Linked DNA regions of Coturnix japonica. The protein of the gene in region 1 interacts with the protein of each later gene in a pairwise test. Links are inferred from orthologs where the notes say so. Each region holds a gene or a part of one and is shown on either strand. Other genes may lie near its edges.

Evidence for each region. The genes of interacting proteins can lie anywhere in the genome.
Region 2: the proteins of SP4 (region 1) and POU2F1 interact in binary tests that used the Homo sapiens proteins (3 or more experiments, as listed by UniProt). The two-hybrid records come from large-scale screens. The link is inferred for Coturnix japonica from reciprocal best matches to the Homo sapiens genes SP4 and POU2F1.

What each region holds. Positions count from the first base shown.
Region 1 is NC_029517.1:27,985,991-27,990,463, forward strand, and holds the start of SP4 (transcription factor Sp4), read left to right. Parts: upstream 1-1,366; 5' UTR 1,367-1,620; coding exon 1,621-1,627; intron 1,628-2,243; coding exon 2,244-2,344; intron 2,345-2,809; coding exon 2,810-4,367; intron 4,368-4,473. UniProt on the Homo sapiens protein: Binds to GT and GC boxes promoters elements. Probable transcriptional activator.
Region 2 is NC_029516.1:82,316,897-82,321,435, reverse strand, and holds the start of POU2F1 (POU domain, class 2, transcription factor 1), read left to right. Parts: upstream 1-1,653; 5' UTR 1,654-1,688; coding exon 1,689-1,752; intron 1,753-4,539. UniProt on the Homo sapiens protein: Transcription factor that binds to the octamer motif (5'-ATTTGCAT-3') and activates the promoters of the genes for some small nuclear RNAs (snRNA) and of genes such as those for histone H2B and immunoglobulins.

The DNA.
Region 1 (4,473 bases):
AGAGTAGGTGGTAAAGGAGTGTAACTGTGGATGATAAAGACATAAAAATCACGATGCCCCAACTGAAACCACCTACACCATCAGCACCATCTTTTATCACAGAATCACAGAATGATTGGTTGGAAGGGACCTCAAGGATCATGTAGTTCCAACCCCCCTGCCTAGCAGGGCCACCAAACATACACCTTTACTAGATCAGGTTGCCCAGGGCCCTGTCCAGCCTGGTCTTGAACACCTGCAAGGACGGGGCATCCACAACCTCCCTGGACAGCCTGTTCCAGGGACTAAACTCTTTTATCCTTCTCTTCAACCTCATACTGAGCTGAAACAGCGCTTTTACACCCTAAGGCCACCAGATTCAGAGAAACCCATCTCTCACTGAAACAAAGACGAGTTAAATTCTCTGCCCATTCCTCACTCAGCCTCCATTTCAGGAGGCACAGTGGCACACTGTGAAGTATTGCTATTAGCTCATCTGGGTGCAAATCATTCAGTGTTGGTAAGGTCATTTCCTGATGCATCAGTGTGTGATGTTACTGCACCCAGTTATCAGCTCGGCTCACAGACTTTAGTGGGGCCATCAGTTATCAGCTCGGCTCACAGACTGAAGTGGGGCCATCAATTCCTGGGCACCCATCATTTCTTCCACCACATCACAAAACAGCCCGTTGTTTCCCAACCATGGGAAAGCGGGGAATGCCATGGTGAACTGGGGATAACCCTACCGAGGAAAACAAAAACACAACCATCATTAAGCTTTTTATTGTGACTCCGATCAGCCCAACCCACCGCCCGGCCTAGTCCCCCATCGCAGCCATCAGCCCAGGAACACCTGCCGCTCTGCGCATGCGCCCCCACCACCCTGCGGCCCCTCAGCCCCTCGCCCAGGACTACATATCCCTGCGCCCCCCGCCGCAGCCGAACCAACGTGGAGGCGGCTCGTTCCCGCCCCCTCGCACCGGCTGCGGGCAATATCCCCGGCTCCCCCTTCCTTGATGGCTGGAGCGGCCCGGCAGCGAGCTCTGTGTGTGGCCCCGCCCCCCGGTGCCGCAGCCCCGCCTCCCTCCCGCCTCCCTACCCCCTACCCCCCCTCCATTCTCGCTGTCAAGCGCTGCACCGCGCAGCCCCGCCCCACAACGCGCGGCTCGGGGACGAGCGGGAGGAGGAGGAGGCCGAGGCCGAGGCCGCCCTTGTGCCGTCCTGCCGCCCGCCGGGCCCGGCTCGCGTCCCGCCCCCGCCCCGCCTCCTCAGCCTCCGGCGTGGGGAGCCGCGCTGAGGCGGAGAGAGAGAGCGCGAGGGGCGGCCGTGGGCTGGCGGCGGGGCTCGGTTTCCTCCTCAGTGGGCCCCGCCCCGCCGCCGCGCTCCCTCCCCCCGGCGGCGGCCGCCGGCCCGCGGCTGTCACTCAAAGCGGCGGGGCTGAGGCCGGCGGCGGCGGCGGGCGGAGAGAGAGGAGCTACGCCACAGCCCAGCGGCGGCCATTCGTGGAAAAATAGGCCGTCCCGCTCCTCCCCGCTCCGGCTGCGACCGGCCTTCTCCCCGCTACCCCCACCCCACCCTCCGCCTCCTCCTCCTCCTTCTCCTCCCCCCTAGAGCGGCGCCTCAGCGGGGCATTAATGCGGGATGAGCGGTATGTAACCCCCTCCCTCCTCCCTCCCGAGCACACCCCTCCCGCCCTCCCTCCGCTCCTCCCTCCACCCTCCGTCCCCTCCATCCCGCCCTCCCGCGTCCCCCCGTTTCTTCCCCGGGTCCCCCCCCCTCTCCCCCCGCCCTTCCTCCCGCGCCCCCTTTCTTCTCCTCCTCCCGCCGTGCCGCCCTCCTCCGTTCCCCCCTTTCTTCGCAGCCCTCCCTCCCGTGCGCATCCCTCCCTCCTTCATTTCTCTTTGCCTCCCTCCTTCCTTCCCATGCACAACCCTCCTCCTGCCCCCTGAAGCATCGACGGCCACTCAGTGGCCGATGCTTCAGGGGGCAGGAGGAGGAGGAGGGTTGTGGGTGGTTTTCTCCTGCTGTCTCCGGGAGAGGAAACCAAACCTCCCCTTTCTGGGTGTTAACTCTCCAGCCCCCATGGGTTGGGTTTCAAACCACGTTTCTTAGGACTCCGGTTCTTTTGTAATAATGGTTTGCGCCGTTGTTTTTACAGAGAGATACGGGCGAGAAGCTGGGAACCAAAAAGGATACGCTTGTAGGTTTTGTTATTGTATAAATGAAGGTGAATAATTAACCTGTTACACTTGATATTTTTGCAGATCAAAAGAAGGAGGAAACTATGCCCACAGAGGGAGAGAAATCTCCCGAGGCAGAGAATAACAACAATAATAATAAAAAAGGGAAAACTGGAGGCTCACAGGTAAAGCACGCACTCCCAAATTGGGAAGTGCGCAAACTATTAGCATTAAAAATGAAGTGTTCAGCTAACAGCATTCCCTGCTGAGGGCATCTTTCTTTGGATTGGGTGAAACCTAGTCGTTGGAGTGCAGTATTTTTACTGTCGGGACGTGCTTTTTGACTGTGTTATATGGTGATCGGCTGCTTTCCATGTAATAGAGGTCCTTGCAAAATTTGCCTTTATTTTAGGAAAAAAGTCTGGATTGAGCAAGTGGTTGAGGTCCTGGTTGTCACATACTCATTGATCACCACTGGCTTGTACGATTATCTATAGAAACATATACTTCCCTATTCAGAGCTGTATCGTTGGTCTCTATGCAGAAGCATGTTTTTGTCTGCTTCCTGTGTAAATCTTGATGCTTACTTCTGATGGTTAACGCTCATGCTCTTCTCCTGAATCCATTCTGTTTTTTCTCTCTCTGGATAGGATTCTCAGCCTTCACCTCTCGCTTTGCTAGCAGCCACTTGCAGCAAAATAGGAACTCCTGGTGAGAATCAAGCAACTGGACAGCAGCAGATTATTATAGATCCAAATCAAGGTTTGGTGCAGCTTCAAAATCAGCCACAACAGTTAGAATTAGTAACAACTCAGCTTGCTGGAAACTCTTGGCAGCTTGTTGCTGCATCTCCTTCTGCTTCAAAGGACAATAATGTTGCTCAACAGGGATCTTCCACTGCCTCGAGCGCACCAAGTCCCTCCAGCAGTAACAATGGAAGCTCATCTCCTACAAAAACCAAATCGGGCAATTCTTCTGCAACAACCCCTGGACAATTTCAGGTCATTCAAGTACAAAATCCAAGTGGTAGTGTCCAATATCAAGTGATACCACAGATTCAGACAACAGAAGGTCAACAAATTCAAATTAATCCTGCAAATGCTACTGGTCTACAAGATATACAGGGTCAAATTCAGCTTATTCCTGCGGGAAATAATCAAGCTATCCTCACGGCTTCAAATAGGACAGCTTCGGGGAATATTATTGCTCAAAACCTAGCAAATCAGACAGTCCCAGTCCAAATCAGGCCTGGTGTCTCCATACCACTGCAATTGCAAACCATTCCTGGTGCTCAGGCGCAGGTTGTGACAACTTTACCTATAAACATTGGTGGAGTAACCCTGGCGTTGCCTGTGATAAACAACATGGCAGCTGGAGGAGGGTCAGGTCAAGTTGGCCAGTCTACAGAGGGTGGAGTTTCCAATGGAAGTCAGCTCGCATCTACACCGGTTACTTCTGCCTCTGTTAGCTCAATGCCAGACTCTCCTTCTTCATCATCCACTTCTACAACTACTGCTTCAACATCTCTGACTAGCAGTGACACTTTAGTAAGCTCTGCAGAAACGGGCCAGTACACAAGCACAGCAGGCGGCAGTTCAGAGCAGCCAACGGAAGAATCTCAAACAACTGCGACAGACTCTGAAGCCCAAAGCTCCAGTCAGCTTCAGTCAAATGGATTACAGAATGTTCAGGATCAGTCAGGTTCCCTTCAGCAGGTACAGATTGTAGGTCAGCCTATTCTACAGCAGATACAGATTCAGCAGCCACAGCAGCAAATTATACAGGCCATTCCTCCGCAGTCATTTCAGCTCCAGTCAGGGCAAACTATACAGACCATTCAGCAGCAGTCTTTGCAGAATGTTCAGCTGCAGGCAGTAAGTCCAACTCAGGTGCTCATCCGGGCTCCAACTTTAACACCATCAGGGCAGATCAGTTGGCAGACTGTACAGGTTCAGAATCTGCAGAGCCTTTCAAACCTTCAAGTTCAGAACGCTGGGTTACCCCAGCAACTCACCATTACCCCTGTGTCTTCAAGTGGTGGTACAACCATTGCCCAAATTGCTCCAGTGGCTGTTGCTGGTACCCCAATCACTCTAAATGCTGCCCAGCTTGCTTCAGTACCTAATCTTCAAACAGTAAGTGTTGCCAACCTGGGTGCTGCAGGTGTTCAAGTACAAGGAGTTCCAGTTACCATTACCAGTGTTGCAGGTAAGTGGTCTGACAAAGTGTTGGGTTGGTTGTTTTTGTTGGTGTGTTTTTGAAGTGTTTGGGTTGGTTCTTTTACCGTGGTGAGAATACTAGACAGTTTTTAATA
Region 2 (4,539 bases), on another chromosome or scaffold:
TGTTTACATTTTCACCCCAGTGTGTTAAGCATAGATCTTCCGAGAGACAAAGTGCTTAATTACTGGTACCAAACGTTGTTAATGAACGTGCAAGGGCAGAATGACAGCATTGCGGGAAGGCTTTTGCTGTTTCACAGCACGGTCCATTTCAACTCCTGCTTTCAGCAACATCTGAGATGTTCTGCTATGATAGGAAAAAAAATGAATCAAACAAATCCCACGAAAACATTGCCAGATGAATTTATTTTTAAATAAAAATGCCAAGATTACCTCACTGATTGAGCCCTCGCAGAGAAACCCCGCTGCCTCCTTCTGACAGCCTGTCCTTTCTGGCTCTTCCCTACCAGTGAAAAAACCTAGCGACTGCCTCTGCTACAACTCGTAATTCCTCCAGCAACAGCCTGCGAGAATGGATTCTCGCCAGTCTCTTTTATTCCACCAGGTTTTGAGCCCCAGAAGAAAATTCAGTTTGGACTCTGACCCATCGAAGTTAATGACCCTCGGAAAACGTTAAGGGCAAGTCCTTAACAAACACCATAGCACCTTCTGGTTCCTCTTTTTATGAGCGCGCGTTGCAGAGCTTAGCAATAACACCTATTTATGCAGCATTAAAGTGAAGAATTTTAGCAAATGCTGCCTTCGCTCTGCCAAATTTGTGAAGGAGGAGGCAAAGTTCAATCACTCAGCCCGCAAATCGCTCGCAGTGATTTGGAAGTTCCGAATCAAAGGCTGGTTTGATCTGTGTGTTTCTCTAGGCTCACGTTATGTACTCTAAACCCTTCATTGAGGGGGCCACGAGGTCTGACTTTCTTCTCCCTTCAGTTTGGTGGCAGTGGATGCAGAACGCAGAGGTGGATTTGTGACACCTCAGGAGCACTGTGGTACCCAGGGTGTATGCAGTGTGTGCACTGGATGCAGAAGGCAGAGGTAGATTTGTGAGACACCTCAGCAGCACTGTGGTACCCAGGGTGTGTGACGAGGGGAAAGGTTTCCTCAGAATTGCTCTTTTCTGAAGGAGGCACAGACCTCCTCTGCACAAAGCAGCCTGATCTGTTATTTCCTTCCCTTTGTATTCAATTCCTTTTTTATTCGTAGGGGATTAATATTGCGGTGAGCTCGGGCAGCACCTGTCTCCCAGGCAGCCTTGGCCACGGGTGTTTTCACACAGCCGCTCACAAAAACACAACTCCTTCCTCCCCACAGGAGGAACCCGGCACTATCGGTCTCCACCACGACTGACCGTTACCCCCACTCCCTCACAGCACGGCTAACCGACACCTGGGCTCCCCATTCCCCACCCTACGCCATTTACACCCTCCCCCCGCCTTCCTCACTGCGCAAGCGCCCCTTCGCTCCCAGCACAACGGACCGGAGAGCGTCTACATGTGTGTGCGTGTGTGTGTGTGAGCCGGGGGGGGGGGGGCAACTAACGCCATCGCCCGTCCGCGCTCACGTTAACGAGGCCTCGGCCAGAGGTGAAGAGATCGCAGCCCGGCGCCTGCGCGCTGCAGCCCGCCTCGCTGTGTGTGAGGGACCCGCGCATGCGCAGAGCGGGGCCGCGGCGCGGTTCGTTGGCGCATGCGCAGTGTGGACGCGGGGGGAGGGGTCGCCCGGCGGGGGGGGCGGGGGGGGGGGCCGGGAGCGGGGGAGGGTTTATCGGGCGGCCGATTTTGGTTAAAATATTCAAAATGGCGGACGGAGGAGCAGCGAGTCAAGATGAGAGTTCGGCGGCGGCGGTGGCGGCAGCGGCAGGTAATCATTACTGCATTTTACATATTCATATTCATACTCGCACACTCGGCCCCCCCGCCGCCCGCCCGCCCCGCTTAGCATAATTTATTAGTACTCAGGATTATTATAATTAACGGCGCAGGAGGGAGCGGGGGGGGGAAGCAGGCAGGCAGCCTCCCCGTGCGGGGACACACACACGCGCGCTCCGTTCCTCAGCCGCCCGCCCGCTCCTTCGCGCGGGGCCGCACTCGGGGCCGCCCGCAGCCGGGGCAGCGCCGGGGGGCGGCGGGGTCCGGGGGGGAAGAACGGCCGGGAGAAGGGGGGGCTCGGCGTGTCGGCGGCAGGGGGGGGCTGCGGGGTCGGGGGGAGGCGGTCGAGCGGGGCGGGGGGGCCGGGGCAGGAGCCGCTCGGTGGGGCTGGGGGTGGGAGAGGGGCCGGCGTTTGCCGCCCACCCTCCTCCTTCCCCCCCCTTCCCCTCCCGCTCCCAGCCGGGGTTATTTCCCCCGGAGCCCGCGGGCACGGGGTGGATGGGTGCGGATGGCCTCCGGGAGGGAGGGGGAAGAGAGGGGGGAGGGCGGGAGCGCGGCGTGGCTTTATCTATAAAGCCCCCCCCCTCCCGCGAGGTGTGGGGGTCAGCGCTCTTCTGGGCCGGGGGGTTTCTCCTTCCCTCCCCCCCCTTTCTCGCTTACCCCCCTCACCCCATAGCAGGGCAGCCCCCCGGGTGCGGCCCCGCCGCCCCCTTCCCCTGGCCCCGTGCGGGGGGCGCAGCGCGGTGCCGGCAGCGCGGGGTGCGGGCCCGGCTCCCTCTCCCCCTCCTCTCCCTTCTCCTTCTCATTTGAATAATGTCTAATTCGGGGAGGTTTATATTATTGAAATGGCCGCCCGGCTTTCCCCGCCTCTCATGTTTAGTAATTCAGACCTTTAATAACAGCCACTCAGAGCCCAACGCCGTGTTTATATTTTACATTCGCCCCATGTGCTTTTGTGGTTCAATGTGATTCTTCTTTCTCGCTCTCTCTCGCTTTTTAAAAAATTTCTTGGCAACCCACAGGGCCCCGAGATCAAACCCAGGCGGTGTGAGGAGAGGAGGGGGAGCTGGGCCCTGCCTGCTCTGGCAGCGCCTAGGCCTCACTCTGCTGCTTGATTTATTTACTAATAACCAAAATGACCCCCTCCCCCCCCCTCCCACCCCCCCATCTCCACTCCACCCCTGCCAGCAAAAACAAAACCCTCCTGGGGCCTGAGCAGCATCAGATCTGCTCGTAGATTCTCAAACACTCATGTCTTTTAAATAAGGAGCTTATTTTTAATTTATAGCAACTCAGGACTGTAAAGCTGCGCCTTTCATATTTGCTTTGCTGAGGCTTGGGCATTTTTGGTCCCTTTGTCCTTGCTTCTATTCCTTAAAGGAGAGTTGCACCTAATTTACGTTTCCTGGCACTGAGAGAGCTGCAGAAGACACACTCAAAATCCAAACAGCCCTCCTCTTCCCTCTGAGCACAAACAGCATTGAATACATTGAGGATAATCTTATTCTCTTTCTTTTTGCTTGGTGTGGATGCACTTTAGCAGTGCTGCGTGTCAGATGCTTTTGTCGCTGCTTGTATCTGACTATTCTGGTTGGCTGTGGGTTTTTTTTCTTTTTTTCTTTTCCCATTTAGATTTGGCTTTCAAGAAAAGCAAAAGATGCCACTAGGCAGCGCAGGGCCTAGGAAAGAAGATAAGTTTGCAGGGATTGTGCTGTAAGACCACCAAGTGGAAATTGAAATTAATCCTCTTAAATGGTCTGCAGTAATTCAGCGTTACACCAGATATGGGGCTACTTAGAAAGCAAACAAATGGACTGCTTTATTACAAAGAGGCGGCAACTTTAAATATATATATATATATATATATTCATGTATGCGGGCACGGGTCTCGATAAAGCTGTCTAGGTTTTCATTAGTGACCATTGTTTTCAGCCCGTGGAGAAAAGGAGCCAGCAGCAGGGCTCTTCCCAGTAACTGCACCCATTAGCATGTAAACATCTCTGAAACGCAGTGAGAAGAGAGTTCCTATGTGAGCACTGGTCAGTCTGTTTTGCACTTGGCTTCTACGTTGAATTTCTCTCCAAACACCACGCTGCAGCCTCATGAAAAGCCTTTGGGTTTCAGAAAGAACGGCTCCGGTTATTTATCCTTTTTGCTTCACCCTTGGCGAAGGCAGGCCTTGAATACTAGAGGAAAAAAAAAAAGAGAATCAGTGGAAGCTGTAATGAGACTGTTGAGGTGACTGACTGTTTCACAGCCCAACAGCACCAGGGCTGGCTGGACAAAAAGCCGTAATATGATTTCATGCCTTAAATAGCATATGTTTTTGCACTCGCTTCGCGAGATGTGGTCAAGCCGATGATGTCATTGGCCAGAGGACAAGGTGCAGTTAATTTGATTTATTGACCTGGGGTGAGGTGTAGCACTGAAACCTTCTCATAGGGAAACCATTTATCTGAGGACAATTTCCTTTATAGCAGCAATTTAACCACTGCTGAGACTGTAGATATTTTATCCGGGATGATAAAAATGTACATTGCGTCTTGCAAACAAAATTTCTTTGTCCCTGACGTTTTAGTAATTTTTATAGGACGGAACGCCGGACAGTGGCCTTGTGCAGCCTTACGGCTCAGCTGGGGTTTGTGGCTCCGTGTGCAGTTATTTACATGACAAAATACAAACGCGTTTCTCTCAAACATTTTCTGAGCCTGTGTTGTAGCTCAGAATTGTGCTGGAATATCCAGCTCGATGCAGATAGAAACGTCTTTGGCAATGAAGC